Linked DNA regions of Pelodiscus sinensis. The protein of the gene in region 1 interacts with the protein of each later gene in a biochemical or structural test. Links are inferred from orthologs where the notes say so. Each region holds a gene or a part of one and is shown in the gene's direction. Other genes may lie near its edges. The genes, in order: FGA, FAM20C and PLAT.

Region 1 (10,199 bases):
TTAGGTTAGCACACTTTACTTTTGCAGAGCTCTTTACTTTTACAGCTTATTATTTTATGCTTACTGCATCTTTGCGCCCCTGATTGTGATGCACTTGGGGCAAGTGTCTCGCTTGCCCAGCCCTTGTATCGGCCTTGGCTGTGAAGACCTGAGTTTAATTAAATCCATATTCTGCCTTGATTTGGAACAGGGACTTAAATCTATATCCTAGGGGAGTGTCCTAACTGCTAGCTGTAGAAGCAGTCTCATTTTCTCCTGGCCAAATCACATTTAACTTAATATACAAAGCAGAACTGGTTCACAATAAGAGAGACTGACAGAGACCAACGGCAGAATAACAAACACTCTGCTGATTAGGGCACTCACTTGGGAGGGAGAACTGGGGTCCTCCACATCCCAGTGACTGCCCTAGCCACTAGAGTGCCTAAGACACCCCCCCACACACGCATACACGCACGCACATACACACACTCAAACCATTCCTGGCTGCTAACTGTCTTCTGTGACTTCTCTATTAGGTCTTAGTTGTGCTCTGAGTATGCTTTTGGGATCTGACCCTGCTAGTGAGATATGCAGTGGGATCACTAGTTTAAGACTTGCTTTGGGGCTGCCAGAGCTATGGATACTGTGGGATGGTGTCTGTGCTTAGGTGGTTTTGGGAACTTCACTTCAACATCTGAGCCACCCAGGGCCCTGCAGACTTGGGCAACAACTGAAAAGTGGTTTTGAAAATATCAGTGGCATGTAAATGCTCAACTTAGACTCCCAGAGAACCCTGGAGGCATCTGCATATCTTTGTGGCTTTAAGAGCCTGTGCCTTAGAATCAGAGAGTCATAGAATTGTAGGGTTGGAAGACCTCAGGAGATCATCGAGTTAACCCCCTGATAAAAGCAGGGCCAATCCCAAATAAATCTCCCCAGACAGGGCTTCATCAAGCCGGGGCTTAAATGTCTCTAGGTCCTCATCTCTGACTTAGGGTATGTTATACTACAGAGCTTTTCCAGGGTACCGGAGGTATCCTGGAACAGCTGCCGTGCCCAAGGAATGCATCTGCTTTTCTAAAAAGCATTTTGGAGAAGCAGAAGCATTTTTTCAGCAAACCTCGTTTTACGGGGAAGAAGGGATGTTCTGAAAGAGGGTTTTTTCCTGACATTTGGCCCCATGTAGACAGGCCATATGTCGGAAAAGCCTCTTTCGGAAGAAAAGCAGAAAAAGATACGCAAATTGCGGTTGCCTTTAAGTTTTTGAAGCACTCATTTACTGTACGGATGAGTCCCACAAGAAAGCCCATGAGGATTTGAAAAGTGTGCTATAAAAAAGAGCAGAGCCATGCACTGAATGATGAGGATAAAAAAATATCAAATATGAGCTCTTGAGCCCTGTCAGTTCTGCATACCGAATGAGGCTGGCATGCTGCAAGAGGAGGAGGGGAGGGGGCAAATAGCATGTGATCAGATAGTTAAAGACTATATCTTAATGCAAACTCACAAAGGAGCCGCCAAATGAAGACTGCACAGGCTATCTGAATGATGTTTCTCTAAAAATTATTGAGTGCTTTGTTTTGCAGCCTTAGAGATCTTTGCACATAAGTTTTATTTTGTGTATTTTTATGAATTTTTCTCTGTATTGTGGTCTCTGAGCCGAATCCAGACCTCACTGAAGACAATTGGGGTGTGTCTAGACTACAGGGTTTTTTCAGAAAGAGTGGCCTTTTTTTCTAAAAAACTTCCCCTGCGTCTAGACTGCCGGTGTGTTATTTCGAAATTAAATTGAAAGAATGCGGTGGTTTTTTCAACTGTGGTAAACCTCATTTTATGAGGAATAACACCTTTTTTCAAAAGTGCTCTTTTGAAAAAAGGCATTATTGAATGCAAACAGAGCTTTTTCAAAAGAGAGCATCCAGACTGCCTGGGTGCTCTCTTTCGAAAAAGCAGCTCGCTTTTTCTAAAGAAGTGGTTGCAGTCTAGATGCTCTTTTTCAAAAGAGGCATGTAGTCTAGATATTGCCTTGGAGACTCCATGGACCTCAATGGATTTTGGATAAGGCCTCTATTTATCAGTTCTTGACATCAAATTGTCAAAATCCTTTTAGTGTTTTCTTTCCTGGCTTTAACTATTTTGCTTTTCTCTATGTCTTTTCTATTCTAGTGTTGTTATGTTACTTCTGAGACAGAAGGAACAAAACTGAAGAGGATTCAAAGTGAGAGTGCACCATTAATCATATCATGCTGAAGTTAGAAGATAAGGTCCATAATTTTAATGGTATTTTAGAATTGCTGTGCCCAGCATTGCAATACCTCATTCATTTCACAGCCTAACTCTCATTTTCAAAATGGATTTAGGGGCCAAAATCCGATTTTTAGTCTGTGGGATTTGCATCTCTAAGTGCCTATATTGTTTTGAAAATATGGTTTAGGTCCTTAATCAGTTAGATGTTGCAACACCAAGCACAATAATGCCAAAATGCCTTTACAGATCTAGGCCTAAGGAGTCTATTTATATGTGATGTCATGTTTATGCATGAGGATCCTTACATATATTTTTCTGAAGTAATCTGCCAATACAATCATTATAGACTGACCTGAAATTTATGAAACTCCAGTTTAAGGATCATTTTACACATTCACTGCTGAAGCTATAAAAGACTATTTAATCATATTACTCTTATCTACAGACTACACTTCAATAGATAATTTTACCAGATGTAGCATTAGGACCCAATTAATTTAAAAATAATAAATCAAACAGAAAGAAAGACAACAGGGATTTGTTTTGCACATTTTCTTCACCATGGATCAGCTTGATGATCACTTCACTAACCCAGGCAAAGGGTGTTGTCCTTCTTGGAGTCCAACACTAGGTCTGCTTCCAGACATAGTGTATCAGACAAATTTCAACCTGAAGTAAAGCAGGTTAAAATGTGGCAACCATTCAGCCCTCCACTCCAGGGTCACCATGTCCAAGATGCCTACCAATGGTCAACAGTCTTTCTGGTGCAATTCCTATGCCTCTGTTTCAAGAACTTCATAACGTTGGCAATTCTCCAGTTTTCTTGCAGCTCTTCTCCCACAGCCCTCAACTCACATCTTCTGGCCCCTGCAATGTCCCCTCCCCACTCTCCTTTGCCTGTGAGTCCTACCCCTCAGTGCTCACTCAAACTTCCCTCCAGAATCAACCTCATTCCTGGGCTCAGCCTGCCTCTGAGGCTATGTCTATGCTATGGAGAAAAAAATCTGCTGCATCCAGGGAATGCGTCGGCTCTTCCAAAAAAAATTTCAGAAGAGCAGACGTGCTCTTTTGGAGGCTCTGTATTCCTCATTTTATGAGGAACACGGGCTCTTCTGAAAAAGGAGTTTTTTCAGACATTTGGCCCCATCTACACGGGGCCAAATGCTGGAAAAGCCTCTTCCGAAAAAAGAATCGGAAAAATGTATGCAAATTGCGGTTTGCAATTTGCATACCTTTTTCCGAACCCTCCCTCCCGTCCCCCAGGAGTGTAGACATAGCCTGAGACATAGCCTGTTCTTTAATCCAGTAGGGAGGTTCAGCCAATGAAGTTTATAAATACCACAAGCACAGTTGTTCACCATCAGAATCTATAAACTCTGCCAGTATTTAAAGTATGCTCATGTCTCTGATCAATATACAATTTCATGTGAACTGAAGAACCATCCTTATTAATTCTTTAGCAACCTCCACATGGACCAGATTTTAATAACAGAAGTCTATAAGATTTCAGAGCCCTAAAAAAAAAGTAAAGAAAGGTGAACCAGTAAAAGCATATGAAATATGCATATGATATGAATATGCCATAACTCAGATATATCATAACTCAGATATGCTGAATGCAAGATGGCTTGTGTAAAATGTTATTGGAAAGGCTATAATTTACTGATTATCCCCATTTGTACATATGTATCATTTTTGTAGATTAAGTTAGGAATATTGACCTGGGTATCTGTAATTTCATATTTACTGCTTTGGGTGTTACGCACTGCTGACGCTTCAGGTACAACAATGAAAGAGGTCATAGTGCTGATGGCTCATCAGCAAGAGACAATGAACTGTAAAAGAGCTTTCTGGAACATGAGAGTCAGATCATGAAGAATGGCTGCAGAGACATGTAATGGAAGTATTGTAAGCAGGATATGAGAAGTCATTCTTCCGCTCTACTCTGTGCTGACTAAGCCTCATCTGGAGTATTGTGTCAAGTTCTGGGCACCACATTTCAGGAAAGATGTGGAGAAACTGGAGAAGGTCCAGAGAAGATCAACAAAAATAATTAAAGGTCTAGAAAACATGACCTATGAGGGAAGACTGAAAGGACAGGATTTGTTCAGTTTGGAAAAGAGAGGACTGAGAGGGCACATGATAGAATCTTTCAAGTTCCTAAAAGGATGTTACAAAGAGAAAAATTAGTCTCCTCAGTGTCTGATAATAGGACAAGAAGCAATGGTCTTAAATTGCAGCAAGGGAGGTATAGATTGGACATTAGGAAAAACTTCCTAATCTTCAGGGTGGTTAAGCACTGGAATAAATAGCCTAGGATAGGGATATAAAAGAGTAGTAGAATAGTCAACTACCCAATAAGCCTAGGCTACTTGCATCCCTCCCCCCCTTGCTGCCTCTATATCTGGGAGGGAGCAGGAGCCAGTACTGGTGAGATCTGGCTTAAAAGCCGGTTTCCCCTAGCACTGTCTCTGCAGTGCGGGGAGGGGCGGGGGCAGAGGTGGGGAAGCAGAGGCACAGTGGCCCTGCAGCTCTGCCTTTTAAATATAGTAAGAGCCACAGAGGTGCAGCACGGGATCCGGTGCAAGCCAGGACTGAAGTAGTCCTTGCTCGCGTCGGATCCAAGCAGCTCTCACTACATTTGAAAGGCAGAGTTGCAGCAGTCTGGACTCAGCATGAGCTGGGACTGAAGCAGTCCCGGCTTGCGCCAGGTCCCAGAACTACTCACCCTGCAGCTCTGCAGTTTAAATGTAGTAAGAGCCAGGCTGCCTGCTGGAATACTGCCTACAAAATACTGGAACCCATATTGATTTCTGTACTTTTCCATGAGAAGCTGGGTGTGAGTCAAACTTGAAACAAAGGACTCCCACCTTAAATCCTATTTAAGGGTGGGGAGTGAGGTAATCTTAGTTTTCAGTCCTCCCTGGCTACCTCAACCAAGATAACTGTTGGAAACAACTAAGTATGAACTGAGGGAATGATTGGGCCCAGGCTAGAAGGGTGCCTGGCCTGTGAGGGAAGACTATTTGAACCACATTTAGGGTGAGATCTTACATATAATTAGTTTGTTTACTGAATTTATCTTAGCCTGCATGTTTGTTTATTTTGCTCAGTTATCTACTTTGTTCCGTCTGCAATTAACCTAGTGAAAATAATTACTATCAGAGGAGGGGGAAGGAACCTGTGCATATCTCTCTTTACCTTGAGAAAGAGGGCGAATGTCATTAGCTTACACTGTATATATCTCTACACAGCCTAAGACAGATTTAGTTTAGATCTCAGAGGGACTGTATACTTGATTGCTGTGGAAAGGTCTCACAGGGTACGTCTACACTGTGACGCTATTTCAGGATACCTCCGGTATCCCCAAAACAGCTATTCTGTGTTATTTTGAAATCTAACGGGCTCACTATTCTGACGTCCTTGAAAACCTCATTTCATGAGGATTAAGGGATGTTTCAGAATAGTAGTTTATTACAAAATTTGGCATTGTGTAGACAACGCCAAATTACAAAATAAGATATTTTGAAATTAACTTGAAATAAGCTATGCAATGTGTGTAGCTCAGATTGCGTAGTTCATTTTGAGTTAAGGGTGCAGTGTAGATGCACCCATACTGTACTGCTTTCAGACTGTGTCTGCAGCGTTGGGGTTTTGCCCTGTCCCTGTGTCTCAACTGAAGCAGGCCAAGAGCTAAGCTCAACAAAAGAGGGTTATAGGGTGTCCAGGCTGTCAGAGGAAACAGACTCAGTGGTGTCTCAGCACGTCAGGTGACAATCTGAAGGGTGTCCCTCCTGACCCATCACAAACATATTTTCTTTTGCCTGACAACCAAAGCTCTTTAATAATGCAACGGAACCTTCATAGACTAACACATTTTGAATAAAAAGATATGTTGAAAGAACTTTTTGTGTTACCAGGTTATTCGTTTAACTAGTTTCTTGTATAATGGTATGATCAAACATATTGATATAATTGAAATTGTCACCATGTCATAGGATTTTAGGTAGGGTGTGTTCATTCTAAAAATATTTCTCCTATGCTAAAGCACTCACTTCATTAAAATTATGAAAGTATGCACTATATTGCCATTAAATCAGTGATATTAAACAAGACTAAACCAATCCCTGTTTCCCCAGAAGAAAAAAAAATGACTTGAGAGAAATAACCCTACTACCACCAAATCCTATCTCATAATATAGGACTGTTCTTATATTTTCTGTTCTTCACATTTTCCTTTAGAAGTGCCTGGACCTTAAAGTGCATGGTCTACATACAAGCAAGTGTCATTAGAAAACAGCTTTATCCTCTGTTTCTGCTCCCAGCTATGTAGAGGCACCAAGCTGCTGTACAATTGATGTTTATAAATCAATGTTTATTTCAAAGGAATAAAGTGGAAAACAGGACACGGGATGCTTACTCAAGGAAGATTTACTCAGTCATATTTCTTACATCTACTAGTGCAAGTTGAAAACCATGTAAAGCATTTCATACTGAAGTTTTCTTTTCTTTTTAATTTTTAATTATATTTTAGTGTCCAAAGAACATAAACCCTGGGACAAATGTATTTCATACTAACCAAACACAGTTCAATTATAAAAATGTGTGAATAGCACTCTTTAACATCTGTAGAGACTGTCTGGTTTGTCCAATATACATGGCATTGTTGGCACATGATGGCATATATCACATTAGTAGATATGCACGTGAATGAGCCTTTGATGGTATAGCTGATGTTGTTAGGTTTTCTGATGGTGTCACTAGGATAAATGTGTGGATAGAATTGGCAATGGGGTTTGTTTCAGGGATAGGTTCCTAGATTAGTGTTTCTGTTGTGGGGTGTGAAGTTGGTGAATATTTGCCTCTGCTCGGGGGGCTGTCTGTAAGTGAGGACTGGCCAACCTCCCAACGTCTGTGAGAGTGAGGGATCATCATCTCTGATAGGTTGTAGTTTATTGATGATGTGAAGGAGAAGTTTTAGTTGGGGGTTGTAGATAATGGCTAGTGGTGTTCTGTTGCTTTCTTTGTTGGGTCTGCCCTATAGGAGATGACTTCTGGCTTTATTTGACTTCAGAGTGAATGTTGTCTGAGACTGACACAGAATCATGAAATTGGCAGAGCTGAGCATGGGTCTTCCATAAAAATATCTCTCAGTAACTGGTTTATTTTGATGACCATATAGTTCTTGAATTAACAATTATTAGACTATGATCTTGCTTCTTTTACTGCACTAAGTAGTCTCTCTGACTTGATGTCCATGGAGTGTGATCATACAAGTAGGAACAATTTGGTGATTTTTTGACTGCTTAGTCATGCTATTTAAATACCAGATTTACAACATAGATATCTTCCAGTGGTTAAGTATTATTGGATCTTTTACATGCATGTTATTCCAAAATTTAGTTATCAGAAACTAAAGCTGTAGACTTTCCTGGAATGTGTGTTCCTTCCTCCCACTCCCTCCACTTCCACCCCCGACTGGCATTGCACAAATTTATCTAGAGCAAACAAACTCAGGCGCTTGTGCAAGAGGCCTCAGGTAACCAACTGGGGGTGGGTTGCATGTAACTCTGCAAACAGAAGGGAACATAATGATTAATCTAAGCTATCCATGAAGGTTTAAAATGAAGCAAAAAAAACAAGTGGAACGTATCCTTTCTGTCAGACTCCTCCTCACCCTGCCACTGAAGATGATACCGCTGAGGATCTTGTGCATGTGGCTGTGCCTCAGCATAGCCTGGGTATGATTTTACTTTATTTGATTCTTTTGATAGTTTGGCTTTCTCTTTTTAAAAAGGGGCATTTTTATTGAATGAACAGTCACACAGCAAACTGACAAAATTCTCTTTGGTTATGAGGTAGCTTGAAAAATTCACACACGTACACATGAACACAAGTCTCACCACTTCATCACCGGCGTTTCCCTCTTGAGTCTCTTCTGCATTTTATTGTCTGTCTGGTTCCTCAAGAAGCACTTGAGATGAATTTTGCTTAAAGTATCTGTCAAGGCAAAGAGGCTAAATGACCAATAAGCAGTAGATTCAGAGGTGAGATTGTAAGTCTTTAACCCATTCCACTGCACCTAGATAGAAAGGTTGCCAAACAGTGTGGGATTTTAGATATTATTAGCCAGATTCTACTCTCAGTTACATCCCTGGATTCCAGTTCCTGTCATTGAGATTCTCTGGGTGTAAATGAGGCAGAATTTGGTCCCATCCTTGCTAAAGTACATATGCATAGAACAAGAATGTTGCAATTGATTTCAGTGGCAACATAATCAGGCTGAAAGGGAGCTCAGGAGTTATTGTTTTTTCAATAAAGAGAGTGGTAGCCTTAACTCCCAACAATGCTAATTGAACAACAAGAAGTCCTGTGGCACCTTATAGACTAACAGATGTATTGGAGCATAAGCTTTCGTGGGCAAAGACCCACTTGATCAGATCCACTTCGTCAATGCTAATTGAACACTCTTGTTGGCTAGTTTAAGATTCCGCCTATATTACTATGGTAAATTCTTATATACATATTTCCTTATTATTCTTTTTGAAGAAATCAGAGTGTGTGGGGTGATCTGGTTTAATAGTCTGAGTGAACTTGGAGCCATTACATTCTTTCATGTAGTTGTATGTCAAATCAATATTTAAAAGCCTATGAAGCATAGTTAGGAACTTTTTTTTTTTGCTCATTAGCTTAAAGATATATATGTGGCAGATCCTTAGCTGGTGTAAATTCAGCATTAGTCTGTTGATTTTAAAGACTTTACCCCAGTTGACACTAGTTGAGGAGCTGGCTCTGGAAGCTAAAATCTTTGCCATCTCTGACAATATATTTTTATTCTACTTTGATAATTGGTAATGTGTTCAAAGGAGACCAGTGCCACTTGATACCTCTCAGAAAAACTGTCCCATCTCTTAGAGAAATAAAAATATTGCCATGCCCACTTTTCTGAGCAAAGATTAGTATGCATGGTCAAAAAACTTTATGACATTTTCATGTAGAATTAGTTAGTGAACAAGGACTTTTTCCTCTTTCCGGATTATATAAAATCTTATTCTGTTTATTTCCTCTTTCAACCACCAATATCATGTTATTGCTGTTGTTACTGTTGTTGTTATTGTTATTTTCCTGTGCTTTTCAAGCTATGTCTAACAAGTGTTATAAGTTTATAGTTAACATCTGATTTTGAGCCACACAATTAAAAACCACCATGAAAACTAAATGACTATCAACTCACTTTAAAGCAGTTGTATTATGAAAACATATGATATTAATTGCAAGCTTAATCATTCTGTTATTAAAATATCTTAAGCACCATTCAAATCCCATAATCATCTGCTTTAACTACATTCAAACGAGAAACTTATTTCATAGAATCATAAGAAGATTAAGGTTGAAAGAGACCTCAGGAGATTCATCTAGTCCAACCCCCTGTTCAAAGCAGGATCAACCCATTCCAGTCAGGGCTTTGTCAAGTCTGGCCTTAAAAGCCTCTAAGGAGTCCATCACCTCCCTAGGTTACCCATTTTAGTGCTTCACCACCCTCATCATGAAATAGTGTTTTTTTAGTATCAACTTGGACTCCCCCACTATAACTTGAGAACATTACTTCTTGTTCTGTCATCTGCCACCATGAGAATAGCTTGGCTCCATCATCTTTGGACCTCCCCTTCAGATATCTGAAAGCTGCTATCAAATCCCTCCCCCGCATTCTTCTCTTCTACAGACCAAATAAACTCAGTTCCCTCAGTGTCTCCTCATGCACCTTAGTCCCCTAATCATTTTCCTTACCTTCCACTGGCCTTTAAACAATGTATCCACACGCAAAACTGGACACATACTCCAGATGTGGCTTCATCAGTGCTGAATAAAGGGGAATAATCACTTCCCTAGATCTGCTGGAAATGCTCCTACTAATGCATTCCAATGTGCCATTAGCCTTCTTGGTAACAAGAGTGCACTGTTGACCCATA
Region 2 (11,044 bases), on another chromosome or scaffold:
TCTCACCTCAGTGCAGCGTGCTCACAATGCATGTTTGGTAGACCCGTATCTTTGTGTTCAGCATTAGTTTCCTCTTATTCCACATTTCTGGTCATTGTCCAAATGCAGAAGGCTGCTTGGCCCATCCAAGAATCCAGCCCATCTGCTAGAGATAAATGATTGTGATATAGATGATCCAAAGGAGAATAATTTGTGCACAACTTCTTGCAGGGTACTAGCTATGAAAACTTCTGATACTGCCCACACAACCTGTGCCATAATCATGGTCTCCTTTGAACAGATGGTGCATGCAAATGCATCACAAAGGTAAAGTTATTACAAAGTTGCTAGAGTTCCTTGCACTGTGTACAACAAGCATGACATCACTGGCTGCAAGAAGTTCGCTTAGCGTCAGGCGTTTAACTTTGATTAACTTTAGGTGGACAATATTTAAGAGTTTTCCATCTGATCTCATAAGCATATGTACACTCTTGACACTAAATGAAAAACATGACCAAGCAGCAGAGAGAAAAATATACTAAAGACTGTTGGTGGTGTGACAGCCTGTCACTGGTCGGGGGGCAGGGCGGCCAGAACCCCGGTCCCCAGGAGACTGGCGCCGGGGAACCGGCTCTCCGGTGTTCCCCCAGCTCGAGCGGGTGGCGGCGGCGGGCGGGGGAACTCCCCCCGCGCCTGCGCCGGCTACGCCGTGCCGACTCCTTCCCCGCGTCCCCGGACGGTGGGGGCGGATCAGCTGGGCGGCGGGACGCTGCACGCCAGCGTGCCCGGAAGGGGCGGGGTCCCAGGGAGCGGCGGATACGGCGGGCCAGCTCAAAAGGGCTGGCCGCCGGCGGAGAAGGAGGCAGGCTCCCGGTGGGAGCACAGGAGCCGAGCCGGAGGCAGGACGGAGCCCGGGCAGCATACCCCGCGGCTGCCAGCCCGGCGCTGGGCCCGGGGTCTTCAGGACAGCCACTGCCCCTGGCGGTCCCTCAGCCCATCGGCAGACGGAGGGCGTACCCCACTGCGTCGCGCCCAACAGGAGCGGGACGCACGGAGGCAGAACAGCGCCACAGAGCGATCCCCCGAGGCTACATCGGGAAGTGAGACACCACGAGACCCCGAACCAGGGTAGGTGTGAATGCGGCGGGCCCGATTGGCGGGCGCCGCCCGGGGGGAGGAAGGAGTCCGGGGCAGGGCGCTTTTGGCGACCTTGGGTGGACGAGTTTTGGAGGGATTAGCTCCCTCGTCCACCGCGTCGGGGCATTAGCAAGCCCCGGCGCCTAGGGCCCTGGGCTGGGACCCGGAGAGAGGGCGGGACCGGGTCCCCCTCCCTCCCTGAAGGGAGTATACTACTCCCCGCGGCTTGAGCGGCGAGCCGTTGTAAGTCACGACCCCGCAAGGGGAAACGCTGAACCAGGGGCCGGCTGCCCCACCCCGCATAGGCGGGTGACTGTCGCCGGGTTCGCTGACCCCCCCTTCCTCCTGGGAGGGGGTGATCGCACCCATTACCGGGAGTTCCCCGTTGGGGGCCCTGAGGCCAACTAGGCACAAAAAGGGGGCACGAGGGTTCGCTGACCCCCCCTCTTGGAGCAAGAGGGGGTGATCGCACCCTGAAACCCCCACAGTGGCAAAATACATCCCTGTTTGTAACACTATGTATTTCAAAGATATCACATAGGTCACCATCATAGTGGACTGTTATCTTCATGCTCTCTTGGAAGGATTGAATCAGACTGAGAAGTGGTGTTCTCTGTAAGCTGGGCGTTTGGGCGGCCACCTAGGAGAGACTGAAATGCTGCCCAGCTGACTAACAGAGTACCGTTAGCCACCCACAGCCAGATGCATGTGTTTCTATTGGTGATACACATCTGTGCATACCTTGGTGCACATAACAAAATATATTCCACACATGGGTAAAAAATAGAGGGAACATTGCAGATAAGGCTTTGGGTGTAACCAGTTTTCTTAACAACTGGGAGAAACGTTTTCTGCTGACCAGGTCTGATCTGCGGAGAGAGGTTTTATTTGTTCTTGACACTTTTCTTGCAGTTGCCTTAGTGCAGGGGTGGGGAACCTTTCTTGGGTTGGGGGCTGCTGACCCACAGAAAAATCAGTCAAGGGCAGCACACAGAAAACCCTCACTGATGTGGTCCCCAAATGAGGAGGAAGACACTCCCCACATTCCCCTCATACACCAGAGCCTGAGCGGGGGACACAACCTAGTATATTTTATGTGCTCCAGCCCCATGGTGGGAAGCAGGGAGGTTGGAGTGCTAGCACTGACTCCCCAATGCAGGGGGGGCTCTGAGCTTCCGTGCCCAGATCCAAGCAAGCCAGGGGTCATCTGGCCCATGAACCTGAGGTTCCCCACCCCTGCCTTAGAGCAAAGACTATCTCAATAGTTCATCTATTAGCACAGATGCCGCCCTGTTGTCTTTTGAGAATGACATCGACAAATGCCTTGTGAGTAACACAAAGGAGATGGGTTCCTCTCTGGATAGACAGGGTTCTGAGTATCATTGCCTGGGAACACCAAGAAACCCTTGACTTTTTTATCCATTTTATTCCATGGACTAAAGATACGAATTAAAGATCTCCTTTGGACAGCCCTGCTGAGTCATCCCAAAGATGAAAGATCTAAGCACGAAAGGCACAGAGCAACTCAAAGGGGAAATGAGTGCACTCGGAGCCTATAGACTCCAAAAGGTGAAGGCGTAGTCCAGCACGTAGAATGGGGCCATGAACCAAGAGGAAGTAGTAGGTCCCCTAAAGGTCAGATGAAGCTGAGAAAGGCATGATGTCAGGGACGACGGATATCCTCCTTCCCTCATAAGAACAGCCCAGGACATACAGAAGTGAGTGAGATAAGCAGTAACTATCGGTATTTCCTTGTTCCTGAGGACAGCATTCCCTTTACTCTACCTCAGAATGAGCAGTAGCAGGGCTAAGCTACAACCATAAAGGACCTGAAGAATAGTGTTTAAAGAATCCCACCTCTCTGTTCTTATTCAGACCCATTAAAAGCGCCCACATTTAATTAGGAGTCTAAGATGAAGAGACTGTTGTCCATAGTGGGAACTCTCTTAAAGCAATTAGCAGTGGATTTAGTAAAATACAACCCTGCTGGAAGTTGCATCAGAAAGCTTCAAAGCAGAGGCTGCTTATGTTGGTGACAATATTGATATCTCGATGGACCTGAGTCAACAAACACTTACACGTGGGTGTAATTTCAAGCATGTGGGATCTCACATAACTCACTACAGAACCGGGGCCTGTAACTGAAAGGTGATGAAAGAATTAAAACAGTTCTCTTTTACTAATGACTCCAGAGAACGCTGGGCCTGTCAAGATCAGACTGAAACCAGAGGACTGCTGGAAACCTCAGTGAGTATTTAAAATAAAAGGAGTTCTGGCCCTAAACCGCTAAGTGGCAACAGATCACTTGAAAATCTTTTCCACTGAAGAGCAAAACACCCATGGCGGGAGATGATGAGCTGTCTAAGAGGAGCCCAAATGGAGCACCTCTGGGGCACTGGTGCCTTGAGTCGCATTCTGGCACCTGCAGGCTGCAGAGACTAGAGATGCCCATGGTGCTGAAGAGTCTGTTGCAGCTCATGATAGAGCTAAGGGAGAAGGGGAATCTTCATGCCCCACCATCCTCTGCAGGGTTGCACTCACGAGAAACACAAACCTTTCAAAGTATGGACATTCATATTCAGAGGCTGAGATAGCTCCGTTACCCTAACTCTCCTGCCATCGTGCTCCTGCCCTCCCCCTGCTCCCCAGTGCCTTTACTTACACCATGGGCTACAAATCACCAGATACTCATTTCAAAACATGATTTGCCATCATGGTCTGAGGGTGACAGATTCCACTGAATATCATGGAGATAATGTGATCCAGCTGGGCTTGTGGAGGGCAGCCTAAGGCAAGCCGTGGGCAGTGCCAGTGGAACTGTGGCTTAGCAGATCTAAAAGTAAATCCCAGGAGGTATAACCTGGATTCAGTTATTTAAACCCCATTACATCCCTGTGAGATAGGTAAGTACTATTTGTCCCCAGATGGCTAAATGAAGCATTGAGAGGTCTACGTGCTTTGCCCAACATCTCTGTGGCAAAGTTCAGGAATTCCAACTCTCAGTGGGAATTCTGCCTGAATGAGGACAGCACAGCAGGATGTAACCCAGAATGTATATCCCGTTTGTATTGTACTCGCTGTGTCAACTCCCCCCCCCCCCCCCCCACACACACACACCATGGCTTTAGGTATTGTTCTTTGAAAACTGATAATGCCCAGTTCCCAGCCTGAGTTCAATACTCTTGACTTCAATAAGATTTTCTGAAAGACCGATCTACCCTTGCCCGCATTTTGTAGCAACGGGGTGAACTGTCTACCAAACATTATGCTCCATACTCCACATGCAAAGTGAGAAATTGTCACGGCACAGCTGGTGATGTGGCAGCAAGGCATTAAAAACGTTCTATGCAAATGACGACTCCAGTTCTGCAAGAGGGTGCATGAGGCCAGACCACTGCCCTCACTCCAAGCCCACTGGCGTCAACAGGGTGATGCAAAAGCAGAGCAGCATGCCTGCCTTGAACAGCTTGCAGGATCAGGGCCTATATAGCCTTGCATTTTTCAGGGTCATTTACCACTTTTGAAAACAAAAGTGGCCATGTTGTGAAAGCACAGGTGTAAGTTTAATGCAAGCACAAAACATGACTGCAATATATCGTGACGGCTTAACAGTCTTACAATGAGGGTTCAGAGTGTGATGCATTTGTAGCACACATTGCAGGTCCAAATATGTAGGTACTGCTTTTATGCGTTCCTTGTAAAGACAATAAATGGGGGATATGGGTTTTAACTTATTACTATATTCATTACTTTTCAGTATCACCAGGAGCCTTCGACTAATATCAAGGCCCTGTTGTTCAACCCCGATTAAGAAACAGCCCCTACCCCCAAGACAAGGCAAGAAGAATATGATTATTTCCAGTTTATGCATGGAGAATAGAGGCAAAGAGAGAATGAAGACCCAGATCCTCCCACGAACTTAAGCTAACTCCTAATGTTAATGGGATCTAAATGCCTGCATCAAAGTACTTGTCCTAATTGGCCTGCTAAAGCCAGGGTTGTGAGTTCAATCCTTGAGGGGGCTGTTTAGGCAAATCTGTCAGGGCTGGTACTTGGTCCTACTATGAGGGCAGGGGACTGGACTCCATGACCTTTCAAGGTCCTTTTCAGCTCTATGAGATGGTATGGTATATCTCCATATTAAAAGATATGAACAAAATCCACAGCAGAGCCATCAAGGGATCCCAAGTCTCAATCCAGTGCTTTAACCACTCTCCATCTCCTCTGAATTATCTGATTGGAAACTCTGGGTCAGTTTTCAGAATCTCTCCTGGCTGGAGGACAATATTGGCAGCCTAATCTCCTTTTTCATCCGGCTATATTGTAAGCATGTGCAGCTAATGTAACCAGACGGGTGGATTGTTACACTGCAACACCTTTAAAGATTGTTACGGTCGGCAGCATCCAGATTCAAAATCAAGATTATTCATCTGTTTCTTAGAAGGAAGAGAAGCCGAGTTTTACGTTTTGACCTTGTTATACACGGGTGACATGGGGAGGGAAAGCAGTAGATTTGCTTCCGAAAATGATCTCTCCTCTCCAGACAATGACATAGCAGAAATCATGTCCCTAAGCCTAGACAGCCAGACTGTACTAATACTTTGCAATGTTATTAGCATAGATTCCAACCCCCCCCCCCCCCAAAAAAAACCCTTTGAGAAACAGACGCCCTCTCCTTGCCCCAGTTGGAGCTGCAGCAGAATGGGGAGGGGGTGGGAGGAAAGGGGAGACCGAAAGAAAGAAAAGCTTGTGGCTGAGGTTTTCCTGTTACTATCATTGTAACGTTTATTTAGCCAATCTCTTAACTATGACGTCTGGATCCATGGCTTGCTCATAATATTTAACACACCCACTAAAGGCTGGAGTTGCAGCGCTACTAGTCCAACCAGTCAGTGTAGCTGAAAGGGGTTTTCACTCTGCACCTGCCAAAGACCTTTCTCCCTCTTTCTCTGCCTCTCCCTTTCTCTCGCAAGGCAGATCTGTACGACCCCGCAGAGATCAAAGACAGCACCTCCCTCGCTAAGAAGAACCGCTGTTGTTTTGTGCTAGTTTCTTTCCTCTTCTCTCTCTCCTTCGGTGCGTGCTTTACCTTGCCGTAGCGCCATCGGGCAGTTTTGCAACCCCAAAACAAAACAAAATAACAAAAAGCCAAACCAAAACAACTCTCCCCTCCCCTCCCAAAAAAACCCCCGCGGAGCCCCAGCCTGGATCCAGCCAGCACACTGAGTTGGACCCTAGTTGACTACTCATCTCTCCCCAGCGCTGGATGCGATGGATGAAGACTCTGGACACAGGCTAAGAAAAGCATTTTCCAGCCCATGTTTTTAAACAGTCTGGCGGAGGAGCGCGTGTGTCCCACGGCTGCATCACTGGTCAATTTCAAAGGATGGGGGGCAGCGTTTCCAGCACCTCGAAATATGATGGATGATTTTTGCTGCCGCTGAACGCCTTTCTCTCTTTAAACAGGTTTTATTATAATTTTTATTCCCCATCTTAATGCCCCCCCCCTTTTCCCCATCAGAGCTTCAGAGGTTGGTTTCTCTTCAATCATCCCTTTTTCTTTCCCCTTGTGCTCCCTGTCATCATCAGCCTCAAGGAAAAGACCGGGGCAATTGGGCAGACGGGTTTAGACGCTGAACTGCTGCTGGCTTTGTGTTCCCATTGATGTGCAAAGCCTTGACTCCGTGCGGTGGGGATTTTCGTCTGGCCGAGTCCTGGATGAGACTCGACCAAGAGGAACGAGGACCGAGCGCTTGCAGAATATTTACTTTCTTCGCTTGCCGGGTTGATTTGTTCTCCGAGCAGGGGGGCAAAAAAGACAAAACACATCGAGACTCGAGCTTTTTCTGTGAAAGGGCTCCTTTAAATATTTAAATCACCCCTTTGCTTCCCCCCCCTTTATAATTTATTAGAAGCCCCCTTGACAATGAAGATGATTTTAGTGCGGAGATTCAGGGTGCTGATCCTGATGGTGTTTTTGATCGCCTGCACCATGCACATCATGATCGATCTGCTCCCCAAGCTGGAGAAGCGAGCGGCCAGGACCGAGGGCCAGGCGGGCTGCTCGTGCGCTCAGCCCCCGAGCGAGGAGGCGCAGGGCTGGGGGAAGCCGCGAGCGAAGGGCGGCTCGGAAGCCGGCTGGCCTAACAAGCACACGCTGCGGATCCTGCAGGATTTCAGCAGCGACCCCGGCTCCAACCTCACCTCGCACTCGCTGGAGAAGCTCGGCGCGGCCTCGGAGAAAGCCGAAGCTTTTAAGAGGCTGGAACAAAGCGCCAGGAGCCAGGATCTGGGGCACAAGCCGCTCATCCAAGATGGGAGCCCGGGCGCCCAGCCCCTGGGGAAGGGGTACTCCAAGCTGGCGGCTCTCTTCGAGCAGCCCCTGTACAAGATCGCCACGCCGGAGCTGGCGGAGGAGGATGTCTTGTTCAATGTCAACAGCGACATCCGATTTAACCCGAAAGCGGCCGAGAACCAGGACTGGTAAGTAGGGCAGGCGGGGGGAGGGGAGGCAGGGTGTGAGCCTCCACTCTGGGCCCCCAACGGGCTGTCACTGAGAGCAAAGGGGAGTCATGCCACCGGCCGCGCCCGCGACGAAACACAGCACCCCCGGAGAGCACGTTTCTCTCCCCAGACCCAGCAGCAAGGGGATTTGGGTTATGCTCATGTGGCATTCCCCTGAAGACTGGCAACACTGCTCTGGGTCTGGAGAGAGGTAACTAGCGAAGCGATGGATGCAGGAGCCACTGGCGTGGGACCAGTGGATCTGGGTTCTTCTTCTTAATTACAGTACATTTAAAAATATTATACAGTCTGCAGGAAACAGTGTGGCTGCTGCTTGCACACCGGGTTTGAAAAGGCACTGCAGCTCACTTTACATTTCAGCGTTAAAAAAGGAAATGACAGCTCTTGCCTGAATGCAGAATTATAAGTGAGATAAGCAGCTGTTATAAATAGTAGCCAATGTGTATGTTAAGACTTGGATTTTGGTGGTGGTTGTTTTTTAAATGACCACATATAGTTTAAGAAGCACCGCTGTTTCTTATTAAAACCCTGAAGAGAGTAAAAAGATCATTACATAGAAAACAAGAGATTATATGTGTCAATGGTGGTATGTCAAAGCCGGTAGCTGGAAATAAAATTAATATGTTTATGTCGGTAGAGGAATATAGGTTCTAACAAGTCATTTACAAGACTGGAGTAAGAGCTATGTTAGATTAAATGAAAGCTTCCGTGATATAATTCAGGTGTCACCAAGACAATAACAAAATAACATGTTTAAACTAGGCTTGTTATTTTCCCCCAAGCCAACAAAATAAAGAACACAAGACAGAGCAGTAAAATATTAACTTCTCTCAGAAGCAGAGAGATTGACTTCAAAGGTCATAAAACCGTCCATAATATACAGATATAAATGGGATTTCAACCTTCAGGGTCTGACTTTTGACACAGCATTTTCTGCTCTGAATTATTTTTTGACATTCTAAAGCCCAGTGCTTCTATCCTTAACTTTTAATGCATTTGGTTTCATCTATGAATTGCCTGCCCCCACTGCTTAGAAACTTGAATGGATGAAAAATCAAAAGGCTTGTCTCTAATACAACAGCACCCTCTTTCAAACACAGTGACACTGTAATGTTTAAACAGCTTCATTGTACCATGCAAAAACTCTGTCAAGCGATAGAGCAGCCAGCCTGGATTTGAATCTTTAATGATGTTGTATAAATGTTTTCATTTTCAACCTCAAGTTTCTATGAATCACAAAGACCCTTAATGTAGCATAATTAAAATCAAACTTAAAACTCACTAGCTTAGAAAACTTCCAATTTCTCTGGAAAATCTGTCATCAGTATATGTCAGTAATGTAGGGAATATACTCCAGAAATGGCTAAAGATACAATTGACTCCTGCAATCAAGGCATGTGATGGCAATGTGATCTACAATACAACTGCTGTTCTACTTGTTTCTACTAGTTACTGCCCACAAGATTTAAATAATTAAAATCAAATTTAGCAGTTTACATTAATTCATACAATTCTTTGTTATAACAATAGCTTAAAGCTAAGCAAACTTTCTTGCATACATGGGAAATAGAATTTCCATTTAGAAAGTAGTCAAAAGTTATTCCACTTCCTTTTGATCCCATAGGAATAATAAAACAAACAGATTCTGAATGTAATATCACAATTATCAAATAATTTCAGGATCTGTTCATTGTTAAATAAAGATGTGGGGAACATTTATATTTTTGTTTCAAAATTGTCTAAGTTGTTTTTGACAACTCTAAAATAAATCTTAAAGACTGAGTTTTCTGAACATTGTACCCTGGATTTAAAAAAAAACCATAAAACAAAATGTACACAGCTACCTTGAATTAAATCAACTTTTTTGGAGTTTTAGAACAGTGCTATGCAATGTAACACTGAGTTCAACATTTTTTTATATTTTATAAGGGTCAGATCCAATGTCTGTTGCAGTCAATGGGAGCTTTGCCACTGACTTTAGTGGTCTTTGGATCAAGTACTAATAATTTAGGTCACAATTCTGCTCCCATTGAGATCAACAGCAAAGCTACCAATGGCTTCTCTAGAAATGGAAGCAGGCCTTTAATCCACAGCAGGGACAAACGGAAAGCCTTCTCTCACATCTGTATTGTTTGCTTTTCATATCATTGCATTTCAAAGCCCTCTTTTAAGTTGCTTTGTGGAGAACCAGCAGAAAAAATATTAATACTTCTCTCTCTCTACTTTTGTGGTAGGCAAAATGAAGGTAATGAAGATGAGGAATTTTTACCCACTGGAGAAACATCTGTAGATTCCTACCCAAACTGGTTAAAATTCCACATTGGTATTAATCGCTATGAGTTATATTCCAGACACAATCCTGTAATTGAGGCTTTGCTACAAGACCTGGTCTCCCAGAAGATAACCAGTGTTGGTAGGTTCAGATACATATTTTTATGACTATTTACTTATTCAAGTCCTCATTGCTGTTTTAATATTAATGACTATTTCCCATTACTTCTATCTGATGTTCCTAAAGCATTGCTTCCTGGCTACATTCAAGTCTGCATTTATTTTCCTTGTTAAATATGAAAGAGGGTTTATAAAGATACTTTGCCAGTTTCATGGTGCATGCATGTTTGAAAAGCCGTTTGTATTGCTGTGGATGCTAGCAAGATTCTAGCAGCAAAAGCATATTAGGTCAGATTTATCCCTGAGGTAAATCTACTGACTTCTGAGGGGTTACAGTGACAACACACTAGAGTATTGCTTGTTAAAATGTAAAAAAAAAAATGATTTTTTCAAAAGTCTGATTTTTTGTATTTTAATTTTCTCAACAAAGAGTTTGCTGTTAAAAAAAAATCCAGAGTGGGGGGAGGGAATGAAGAGCAACATGTTCATCTGCAGAAGACATTTAAAGCATGAAGCCACACAATGCAGTGTCTCTATACATCTTATCAGGCTGCACTGTGCTCCAGTACTGCTGTAGCTTTAAGCCCCAAAGCTGCAGTGGCTGTATTTGCAGGTCTACCACTGATTTCAAAGAGAGTGAAACAAGTACCAGGGTAGCAGGATAGGGTCCATAGTTCAACTCTGTTTATTCTGTTTATAAACCCATGATTGAGATGATACCATGTTGACCCCTCAGTACATGTAATGATCTGGAACACATGGAAGTATTTTCTATGAAGTCGATTAATGATAGTTTTAGGTACCCTTGCCTCTGGCTTTATAGTTACCAACAAAAGAAACCAAAAACAGGGCCCTGATGTTCTAAACCAGTTAATGTAATTTTATTTTGAGTGGCTGGCAACTGTAATTTGTCAGGACGTTTTTATGTGCCTTGAGGCACATACAGAATTAGGCAATTTCTATTACACCAGCTTCCTAAGTAGTCTTCACCTTTTCACAAAGATGAAATCAT
Region 3 (10,823 bases), on another chromosome or scaffold:
TGCTGCAAGAACATGTGGACAAAGCCTAAGGCTGAAGAATAAGACACTGGAGGGTCTCAGAGGAAGCAGCAAGAATCTGTGGAGAGCAAGGAGAAAAGCAAAGGAGTGTGTGTGAAAGATACAGTGTATACAAAGACCCTATGTCCTGTGGTTTGATTTATTTTAGAGCCAAGGGAAACCAGGACACTCTAGGGATCCTTAGCCACTTTCCTATTTATTGCAAGCTTTAAGCAGTTAATACAGTTGTTTAAGTTTTACAAGCCTTAAAACAATTACTATCCAATTTAAACTTTAAATACTATACATTCTAAAGCAATTAATACAACACAAAACAACGCAAAAGCAATTAATAGAAGATCAACTATAATACAACAACAAAGCCTAGTTCACTTACACTTTACCCGTTTGCTATCTACAATACCAGGCAGGAGCTCGAGGTTCCTTTGATTCCCACATGTTGGAACGCCTCGTACTGGGTCACGAGCGTGAAGGACCTATTTACTTCTAGCTAAATTGAGCAGGACCTGTGGGTCCATCCTGCCCATTCCCTCCCATCGATTGTTCTTACTAAGCCCATTTTATAGCAAGGCGAGACTTGGTCGTTCTAATAATATTTACCAATTGCTGATGTATAAGTTATGTAAAATGCCCAATACCCTATTTGGGGTACACCCTGCTACTCAGGATGTTGCTGCATGTGTGTAGACGACAGTTTCACGGCTGCACCTGTAATTTTTGCTTATCAGAAACAGGAGTACCTATACAAGGTTTCTTGTCATGCGTTTTTGACGTGGTCTTGTATACCCTGCTTAATCTGCATTGTCAAGGCTCGACAGATTAGTCAATCTACTCGCCTGGGGCGAGTAGACTTTAAGCTGGCACGGCGCCGCAGCACGATCAGCGCATGCGCAGCGTGCCAAACTGCGCGGCTGCGAGTGGGGCTCACCGCCACTTGTCAAGCCCTGTGCATTTTTATTCAAAACATTCCTGCCTCGCACAGCTTCTCCTTCCCAAACCATGCCTGCGTGCTACATGCACCAGACTTGAGACAGGCCTGAGTTTTGCTTTTTAGGGATCCGCACTGTGGACAAAGCAGACACCACCGTTTATTGTCAAGGCAGGGCTGTCCAGGCTCCCCTACACCCTCGCAATTAACAAAGGAAGTGGACAATAAGAACTCAGCCCTCTGCTGCTGTTAAAATCAGGTAGCTTCTCTTAAGAGCATCAGCAGCAGCATGGCCCTGCACAGAAATGTAAGACAGAGTCCCTGCCCCAAGAAGCACCTGCCATTTGAGAGGGCATAATATGCACTACTAGGGAGGAAGGTTGGGTGCACCGGGCCCCTCATGTCAGATACTAGGAGCACATTATACACAGCACAGGGCCTCAGATGGCAACATTCAAACCTAGATTCAACATTCTAAGAAGTGGCTGTGTTTGGACTAGGGGATTTTGTTGAGGCCTTTATCTACACTACACCTCCTTGCAGTTCTCCCTGGGTACGTCTACACTACAGCGCTAATTCGAACTAACGCGTCTAGAACTAAAAACTAGTTCGAATTAGCGTTTTGCTAATTTGAACTAGCGCGTCCTCACTGATTGGATGCAGGGGGGCATTTAAGGGCAGCTGAAACCGGTTCTGGCAGGGCATCAGGTCAGTAGTTGCTTTGTGTGGCTGCTGTCTGAGGCTATCTTAGGCTCGAGCTTAAAGGGACCCCCCTGGACAGCCGGTTCTCAGCTTTTCCTGCTTGCTTGCCAACCTCACCGAGGGACAGCAAAGCGTCGGTCTCTGTGCCCGTCTGTGTCGGTGCTTCCCTTCGGGGACGCCGCCGCAGGTGGCAACATGGAGCCACAGCTCGCCCTGCACCTTCTGGTGCACTTTCTGGACTTGCTGCTGCAAGCCTGCCAGCAATGGCTCGAGGCTGCCTGGCACCTCCTGGTGCACGTCAGCCCCCGCCCCTCCGCCTGGCCGCCCTGGGGGCCGTGGAGGAGCCGCGGTGGCGCCCCGGCACAGGCGTGCCCCGCCGCGTCTGGCGTCTGGACACCAGCACCGACTGGTGGGACCACATCGTCCTGGAGCGCTGGGAGGATCGACAGTGGACCCAGAACTTCAGGATGAGGAGGGACACCTTCCTGGAGCTCTGCGAGTGGCTCACCCCTGCCCTGCGCAGAAGGGACACTCGCATGAGGCCCGCCATCCCCCTCCAGAAGCGGGTGGCCATTGCCCTCTGGAAGCTCTCCACGCCGGACAGCTACCAATCCATCGGGAACCAGTTCGGTGTGGGGAGATCCACCGTCGGAGCGGTGCTTATGCAGGTATGGCACTCGTCGGCCACCGCACCGGAGGGGGAGGGAGGCTGCGAGGAGGGGATGGGCTGCCCCAGGGACAAAGGGGGGGCGGGAGGAGGGGATGGGCTGCCCCAGGGACAAAGGGGGGGCGGGAGGAGGCGAACGCACCCCACACCGGAGGGGTCGGTCTGTCCCGGCCATACTACACGCCACCAGGGGGGTTGCTTCCAGGAGTGGGGCGCGGGGCACTGCCAGGGCACGAACGCTCCCAGCCACCCGGGCGCCCCACTGATTGGCGCTTTGCTTTGTCTCTCTCCGCAGGTGGTCAAGGCCATCAACTGGGTGCTGCTCCGCAGGGTGGTCCGCCTCGCCGACCCGGACGCCATCATCCGGGGATTCGGTGCCCTCGGTTTCCCCAACTGCGGGGGGGCCATCGATGGGACGCACATCCCCATCCGTGCCCCGGAACATCAGGCGTCCCGGTACGTGAACCGCAAGGGGTACTTCTCTGTGATCCTGCAGGCCGTGTGTGACCACCGGGGACAGTTCACGGACATTAATGTGGGCTGGTCCGGCAAAGCGCACGATGCCCGGGTGTACCGCAACTCCTCCGTGTGCCAGCGGCTGCAGGACGGGACCTTCTTCCCCGACCGCCACATCAGGGTCGGGGACGTGGACATGCCCGTGTGCCTGGTGGGGGATGCCGCCTACCCACTGCAGCCGTGGCTGATGAAGCCCTACACGGGGCACCTCAATCCCTCCCGCCAGGCCTTCAATGCCAGGCTGACCAGGGCCCGCATCGTGGTGGAGGGGGCCTTCGGGCGACTGAAAGCCCGCTTTTGATGCCTCCTCACCCGTCTGGATCTGGCCGAGCACAACATCCCTCCCGTGGTGGCAGCATGTTGTGTGCTCCACAATTTGTGTAAGCGAAAGGGGGAGGCTTTCCTGCCAGCATGGATGGCTGAGGCTGACCGCATGGCTGGACACTATGGTCAGCCCCGCACCGCCGCCGTCCGGGAAGCCCAGCGGGGGGCCGTCCGGATCCGGGAAGCCCTGTAGGAGAGCTTCCAGGTGGAGGAGGAGAACTGACCTCTCCCTTGCATGCCCCACTGGGGCCTTCTTCCACCCTACCCCCCTTCCCCTTTCCCCTTCCTACCTACTGTAAAATAAAGACACCTGTTTTTCAACCAAAAACGTCTGTTTATTTCACATAACTGGGGTGGAGGGAGGGAGGAATGAGGGTGGGAGAGGGGAGGGGGAAACCTGGGACGAGGGAGCTGGAAGGGGAGGGAAGGGAGGAAGGGAAAGGAAAGCTCAGGGGTGGGAGTCCGGCTGCCTCTCCCGTCTCGCCACACTGAGGATCCGGGGGCATCGGTGGGGAATGGTTGTGGAGGGTGGGGCAGGAGGGACGGAGGGTGTGGAAGAAGCAGGAGCGGGAGCAGGAGAGGGAGCTGGGGGAGCAGGGGGAGCTGGGGGGCAGGGGGAGCAGGGGGAGCAGCAGAGGGAGCAGGGAGAGCAGGAGCAGGAGGAATTGGGAAGCGGTCCAGCAGGCTCTGGAGGTGGCCTCGCAGGGCACGGCCCTCCTCCTCCAGGGCCTCCAAACTCCTCCGGTGCAGCCTCAGGTCCTCCTGGACCCAGTGGTCCTGGAGACGGAGCTGTTGCTCCAGGAACTGGAGGTGCCGCCTCTGGTAGTCCTCCTGGTTCCTGGCTCTCCTGCTGGCCCGGTCACGGGCAGCTGCTGCAGGCGGGGTGGTGCGCCCTGCAGGCCCAGGTGCTGCGGCTGTGGTGCAACAAGACCAGCGGTCAATTACCCCAGGGGCCCAGGTGTGTGAAACCCAGCTCCCCTCTGCAAGGCCAGGGCCCCTGCAGGATCCCCAGCTGCTGCTCCGTGGTGGGTAAGGCCCAGGCACATGGTCCCGGGGCTCCCTCTCGCCCCAGCCCCCCGTACACATAAGGGGAGCACGATGGTACTCACAGGTGGATGCCTCCCCGGCCTCGGACGACACAGGCGAGTGGCTCTGTGGGGTACCTCGGGGGTCCCGGGTCTTGGGCAGGCTGGCGGCAGGCTCCTGGCTCTCAGAGCCCTCCTCCTCCTCCTCCTCCGTCTCCTAGAGCGGTCCCTTTGCCCCGGGGTCTATCATGTCCCGGGGGGCAGGGACGGCATGAGCCCCCAGGAGGCGGTCCAGGGCGTGGAAGTGGGGGCAGGCCCCCGGGTCAGCCCCTGGCTGGCAGGCCCGGGAGTAGGACTGCCGCAGGTCTTTGATCTTGCAGCGCACCTGCTCCCGGCTGTGCTGGTGGCCCCTGGCGGCCAGACTGGCAGCCATGCGTCCGTAGACGGCCGCGTTCCTGTGGCTAGTGCGGAGATCGTGGACATTGGAGGCTTCCCCCCAAACCTCGATGAGGTCCACGATCTCTGCACTTGACCAAGCGGGTGCCCGCCTCTTGCGTCCCTGGGCAGGCTCCTGGGACCCGCCAGGCTGGTCCTGGGGAGCAGTGGAGGGCTGGGTGTCCTCGGGTGGCTGGCTCATGTTGTGGCAGGTGCAGGGTCTGCTGGCTGGGTGCTGGCAGCCTTGCTACTGGCACAAACTGTGTAGCCAGCCCGTGGCCCTTTAAGGGCTCCGGGGCAGGGAGGGGGGCAATAGAGTTTCCCTGGTGTTGGCCAGAGTGGCCACCAGGGCAAGCTGGGAAGGGCTAGCCTCCCACTAGTTCAAATTAAGGGTCTACACAGCCCTTCATTCGAACTAGCTAGTTCGAACTAGGCTTAATCCTCGTAAAATGAGGTTTACCTAGTTCGAACTAAGCGCTCCGTTAGTTCGAATTAAGTTCGAACTAACGTCCGTTAGTTTGAACTAACTTTGTAGTGTAGACATACCCCCTCATACCATGTCCTGCCCTGTCCTCTTCCCCTTACACTGTTCTGTGCTCTCTATGGCTGCCAGGTCAGATTTTGTTCCACTATCTTTTTCTAGTGATGTGACTAGGTACCACTCAGAGACGGATTCCTGACGCATTACACGCCTGAACTACATCATCTGCCTGTTTAGCGTGGGACGTTCCTTGAAGGCGTGACATGCTCTTTCTCTACAGTTTGCACAGCACCAGTTAAGCTGGTGGCCTGAGAAAATAATGAACATTTGTAACTCTGGGGGCATGGTGTGAGCGATGCTGTCCCCCTGTTCTTGGAACCACAATGAAGGTTTTCTTTGTAAGTGGCACTTGTTATCTGATTTGTTGCTCACACTCCAAAGGGCTCAGAGGAAAAGGCAATGATACCAAAAAGAAAAGTCCTGGAGTCACTGACTGCTTTCTGATCAGGACCATGAATAATACTGACTGGATGAGAGCCAGGATCTGCTTGTTGACTTCATCAGACACTTCCTCCCCCTCATCTTTGGAAAAAGCTAGCCCAGCCTATCCTGACCTCATCACCATAGCCATCACTGTATCCTTTCCCCTGGGTGAAAAAGTCCCTACCCCCTGTATAGGCTCCACCCCCTTGACTGGCATTTTAAGAAGGACACTGGAGCTGTTTAGAGAGATCAGAGCTTAGATGTATTCAAAGCACATCCAGGCTGCACCGAAAGGAGCCCATCCGCAGAATACAGAAGAGAAGTGAAGGTATGTGTTACTCTCCACTTGTCTGTGCAGATCCTTTCCCTCTCTCCCTAGGGCTTAGTGCTGCTATAAGAATAGAGCAAGGATAAATAACGTCACATTCCTGATATTAATACTTTGTAATTAATTAGCACAATATGCGGTGCTTCGGAATGTGGAATCTAACTTTGCTGTTTCTTTGTAGCCTCTGGGGAGAACTGTGAAGTTGGGGACAGATGGTGCTTTCCTGTTTTCTCTGGAAAGCCTGCTAACCCAAGTCAGGGGGAAATGGAGCAGCTAAAGGACTTCCAGCCCTGGCACCGAACTGCTTGTGGGTAGGAGGCCCCTACACAGAGAAAAATAAAAGAATAGTGATAAATAAAAAGAACAGAGCTCACAAACCCCCAATAGCAACAAAAGACCAGTGTGCCAGTTGTGAAATTATCCTTTGTGGGGTTCATGAGAGGGTCAGATCACACATTTCTCTTCAGGATTCTTGTCTTAGTAGGGGTGACAGAGGGGCCTCTGTGTGCTCTGTAGGCTTCTTCCTCCTCCCAAATGCAAGCACAGCTATAGAAAATCTTGAGGACAATTTCCAAAGGGGAAAAATCAGACTTCTGAGGTGTCAAGGGAATGGTGTATTTCATAGACAATGAAGATAATGGGATATTATCTACATATCAATGCCCTGGCTAGGAAGGTAGCAGACAGGAAGAAACAGTAAGAAACTGGGCTCTACAATGCTGAGTACTGGATTGGGGCACTGCAACTCCTCTCAGCAGGCAGTAAACAGAAGAAGTGCATTACTTCTGAATGCAGGAGGGGAGCTTTAAGGCCCTTCTGATAAATCAGCTTAGAGACGTGTCAGCACAAATGGCAAACAGCAACTGGTTCCAAATTCAGAGTAAGGCAACGGGTTCTGATAATCACAGAACCAGAACTCCTGACTTTTCATCTCTGTTCTGCCTCTGACTGCCGATGTGCCCTTGGGTGAGTCACTTCACCTCCCTGAGCCTCATGTTCCCCTCCTTCAGAATTGGAGTGATACTAATTTACCTACTCCTGAGGAGAGCAGTGATGCTTAAATCAGTCACATTGAACAAGTGACAGACAGATTATTCTTGTTTCTTGTTTCTGAGGCATCTGCAGAGATGTAGCCACGTCTGCAGAATGCAGTATCCCTTTGCTACACTATTTTCAGATTGGTAATGAATGATGTACATCATGCGCATGAAGAGCACTAACTCCCGAACTGCTCTGTCGGGTATGTGCACCAGGATCCATGTACGTGGATCTGGGGATGCAGCTAGGTGAAAAGGACTATTGCTAGGTCTCTGCTTCTATCCATGTAAACAGTCTCATAGCTTCAGAAATCCATGTGCTTTCCTAGATAGGGCTTATCATTCAGAACACCCCGACTGGGTAAGGCACAGCCAAGACCAGGGGTAAGACTAACTACATATATCTGGAAAACATCAGTTTCGAGACTTCTGGCACACTGGACATCAGGCCTGCTACAGTTACGGCTAAGGGACTATGCACTCCTCTCTGTGTATAAGAGAGGCGCTAGCCTGGAATGAATAGCAAGGGTTATTGGAACAAAGAAATCAGAGGACATCTATGAGATACAGGAAGCACTATCTGGTAAAAAGAAAATTCAAGGCTATGGGCTGCCGGTCAATGCTACTAGACTGTATAGTAGACTAGATACATTAAAAACTGACTAATTAAGACAGAATTTGTGTTATATTTAATTTTTACTTTAAGTAGTTCTGGGGCTTTTAAATGGAAGAGTCTCCTTTCAGAGCAGTCTCCAAGAGTTTAATACACAGGATATAACAATATCGAATTCCCTGCTCTAGGTCCTCTCTGCTATAAAGGAGAGAGGCCAAACGGGCCGTCGCTCTTTTGTTTATGAACAGGCTGGGGGAGGGGGTTTGGCAGAGGAGCCACGAGGGAGTAGAGCTAGAGAGGTCAGAGCAATGCTGTTTGGTAAGGAGGCAGGGAACACACAAGACAGCTGAGTCAGGGCCTGGATTTTCCTGCTGTAATGAGCAGCGGTCAGGGAAGCGCCAAGGAGTTCACTACCAGGTAAGAAAGAGGACTGGGAAGGAGAGAAAGAAATTAACGTCTTCACTTGAAAAGATGGAGGCAGGCAGAGGTCTAAGTCCACTCTTGTCTCAGTCACATCTGATGAGCTAATGAACCGTGAGGAACAGAGTGGTTCCCAAGGTTACTGTTGCGAGTAGTAAAGATTTCTCAGAAGGGTGGGATGGAGCTTTGTCTGAGGGAGATGAAAGGGAATGTGGGACTGTTTTGACTATAGGAAAGTGAGTCAAGGAACAAGTGAGATGGAGTGCCAGACCACAACTAGCATTATAGTCAACCAACCTACTTTCCACTCCCTGCACGGCTGATAGTGGAAATGAAGTCCACAGGCAGTGGAGATTACAATTCTGAGAAACAGCTCTATTGCTTTACATTTGTTAATGCTGGCCATACTCCTCACGCATACCCAGCAGGCTCTTCAGCATTCCCCTCACCCTGTGCTAATGATCCACCAGCAGGCAGCATTATTCTTTGGGTATGTGGGTTAGGGAGGGAGCAGTCACGCTTCTGATTCCATGCAAAAACTGTACTAATACCTGCAAGCTCTCACACAGACTTGGGACCTCCAGACTGTTCTTGCTCAGCACAGGTATCCCTTGTGCCCCAGAGCAGACACTCCAACTAGAGACTCCTGCTCTTTCAGATGCCTCTTTTTGGTGACTCTAGAGATGCTGTTTTATTAGCCAAATCCAGGAGTCACAATTTCTTTTGTGGGAGTCCAGCCTTGTCTGCTGCCACTGCACACCCTTGGATTCCCACAGCCTGCTGTGAAGTAAACTGGGCTTGCCTCTTGTGAAGTCATCCCCCCAGCAGTGCCAGACAGGCACTGCTCAGTGCCAGACAGGCACTGCTCAGTGCCAACCCCTGGAACTTGGTTTCTGCCATTTGCCTATGTGAGGTGGCAGTGCTTAAAGTGATCAGGAGAAACAAAGGGGGTATCTCATAACCTGAGAGCAGCAGCAACTTTAGTAACTTAGTACTTAATGTGCACCCTTCAGTGATGCAGCTTCATCTTATTTAATTTATTTCTTTATTTTGCCTCCCAGATCTGCAACCCCTGAAAACCCCTCTCCTTTCCTTTCTCTTCTCACCCACTGCCAATGTGTGAAGTGGGTCCGGTTCCAGACTGTCAGGGCCCTTCCAAATTATAGCAAGACTCCGAGGCTCTCAAACAAATTGCAGAGCCAACTCAGGGACACTGCCACTCCCTGCCAGCTTCCTGGCCTCTGGAAATTAATGGGAGCTGTGTGGGTAAAAGCCCTTTTTCACTCTGACAATATTAACCCCTGCTCACACTGTCAGCTCCTTGCTCAGCTTTTCTGTTTAGTTTTTTTAGATTCTGAGATCTGAAGGCAACGCTGAAAAAACCAGAGAATGGAAGGGAAAGTCCTATATCTCTACTTGGTGATGACAGCCATCATCACCACTCTGCAATGCCAGGTAAGAGGTCACCATGCCAACCCCATTCTGGGAGATCCCTGGCACTCTGGGGGTCCTAACCTGTCCCGACAGCACTCTCCTCTCTTCAGAGTCCTCAGTGTTTTTTCCTGGTTAGAAGAAGGGGCAGAGTTACACAGTGGGGCTACGTCTACACTATGGGACTGCGGCCAGGGAACGCATCTGCTCTTCTGCTTTTTTCTGTAGAATAGCAGACGCACACTTTCAGAAGCCCTGTCTTCCTCCTTCCATGAGGAAGAAGGGGTCTTCCGAAAGAGGAGGCTTTTCTGAAATTTGGCCTAGTGTAGAAAAAAGGGATAGAGAATAAGAGAAAATATCATTGTGTACAGATGTGGTCACCTCATCTCAAAAAAGATATCTTGGCATTGGAAAAGGTTCAGAAAAGGGCAACAGAAATGATTTGGGCTTTGGAACGGGTCCCATCTGAAGAGAGATTAAAAAGACTTGTACTTTTCTACTTAGAAAAGAGGAGACTAAGGGGGGATATGATAGAGGTCTATAAAATCCTGACTAGTGTGGAAAAAAGTGAATCAGGAAAAGTTATTTATTTATTCCCACAATATAAGAACTAGGGGTCACCAAATGAAATTAATAGGCAGCAGGTTTAAAACAAACAAAAGGAAGTTTTTCTTCTCTCAGCGCACAGTCAACCTGTGGAACTACTTGCCAGAGGATGCAGTGAAGGCTAGAACTTTAACTGGTTCAAAAAGAGCTAGATAGATTCATGGAGGTTAGGTCCACCAATTGCTATTAGCCAGGATGGGTAGGAATGGTGTCCCTAACCTCTTTTTCTCTGGAAGTGGGTGACAAGGGTGACAGGATGGATCAAGTGAGGATTACCTGTTGTGATCCTTCCCTCTGGGGCATCTGGTATTGGCCACTGTCGGCAGACAGGATACTGGGCTAGATGGACCTTTGCTCTGACCCATTATGGCCGTTCTTATGTTCTTTGTCAAAGTATTTCTGTCCAATATTATTTAACAGCAGCACTTGATTTTCCCTCTGCCTCGAGGCAACAGCCCTACCCCCAAGCCCAAATTCCCATGTCCGGCATTTAGAGAGAAACAGCGCAGGATGGTTGTGCAACTGGAAGGCTCCTTAATGCACAGCCCAGGAACATGCGCTAATTTGTGCTTGGGCTCAGACCCACCTATAACAGTGCAGGATAGCTAAGGCACCTCCCACACTACCAGAAATACCACATTGGGGAACGCTGGAGTGTCTCTCAGAAAGGAATCTAGATTTTGGGAGACCTCGGTCGCTGAACTGCAAGGACAGCAGCCACTCAGATTTCTTCTCTCTCTGCTTGCAGGAGCTCCGGGTGCGCCTCAAACGGGGAGCCAGATCTAAAGGTAAGGAGGGGAGAAGGCACC

Evidence for each region.
Region 2: of the proteins of FGA (region 1) and FAM20C, one has a biochemical effect on the other in vitro, tested with the Homo sapiens proteins (2 studies listed by IntAct). The link is inferred for Pelodiscus sinensis from reciprocal best matches to the Homo sapiens genes FGA and FAM20C.
Region 3: the proteins of FGA (region 1) and PLAT form a complex in vitro, tested with the Homo sapiens proteins (2 studies listed by BioGRID). The link is inferred for Pelodiscus sinensis from reciprocal best matches to the Homo sapiens genes FGA and PLAT.

Annotation. Positions count from the first base shown.
Region 1 is NC_134715.1:56,883,647-56,893,845, reverse strand, and holds the start of FGA (fibrinogen alpha chain), read left to right. Parts: upstream 1-5,191; 5' UTR 5,192-5,206; coding exon 5,207-5,271; intron 5,272-7,846; coding exon 7,847-7,970; intron 7,971-10,199. UniProt on the Homo sapiens protein: Cleaved by the protease thrombin to yield monomers which, together with fibrinogen beta (FGB) and fibrinogen gamma (FGG), polymerize to form an insoluble fibrin matrix. Fibrin has a major function in hemostasis as one of the primary components of blood clots.
Region 2 is NC_134726.1:25,373,414-25,384,457, forward strand, and holds the start of FAM20C (extracellular serine/threonine protein kinase FAM20C), read left to right. Parts: upstream 1-5,887; 5' UTR 5,888-7,042; coding exon 7,043-7,599; intron 7,600-9,875; coding exon 9,876-10,054; intron 10,055-11,044. UniProt on the Homo sapiens protein: Golgi serine/threonine protein kinase that phosphorylates secretory pathway proteins within Ser-x-Glu/pSer motifs and plays a key role in biomineralization of bones and teeth.
Region 3 is NW_027465860.1:426,134-436,956, forward strand, and holds the start of PLAT (tissue-type plasminogen activator), read left to right. Parts: upstream 1-5,757; 5' UTR 5,758-5,907; intron 5,908-6,030; exon of another isoform or gene 6,031-7,974; intron 7,975-9,306; exon of another isoform or gene 9,307-9,319; 5' UTR 9,320-9,366; coding exon 9,367-9,432; intron 9,433-10,762; coding exon 10,763-10,802; intron 10,803-10,823. UniProt on the Homo sapiens protein: Converts the abundant, but inactive, zymogen plasminogen to plasmin by hydrolyzing a single Arg-Val bond in plasminogen.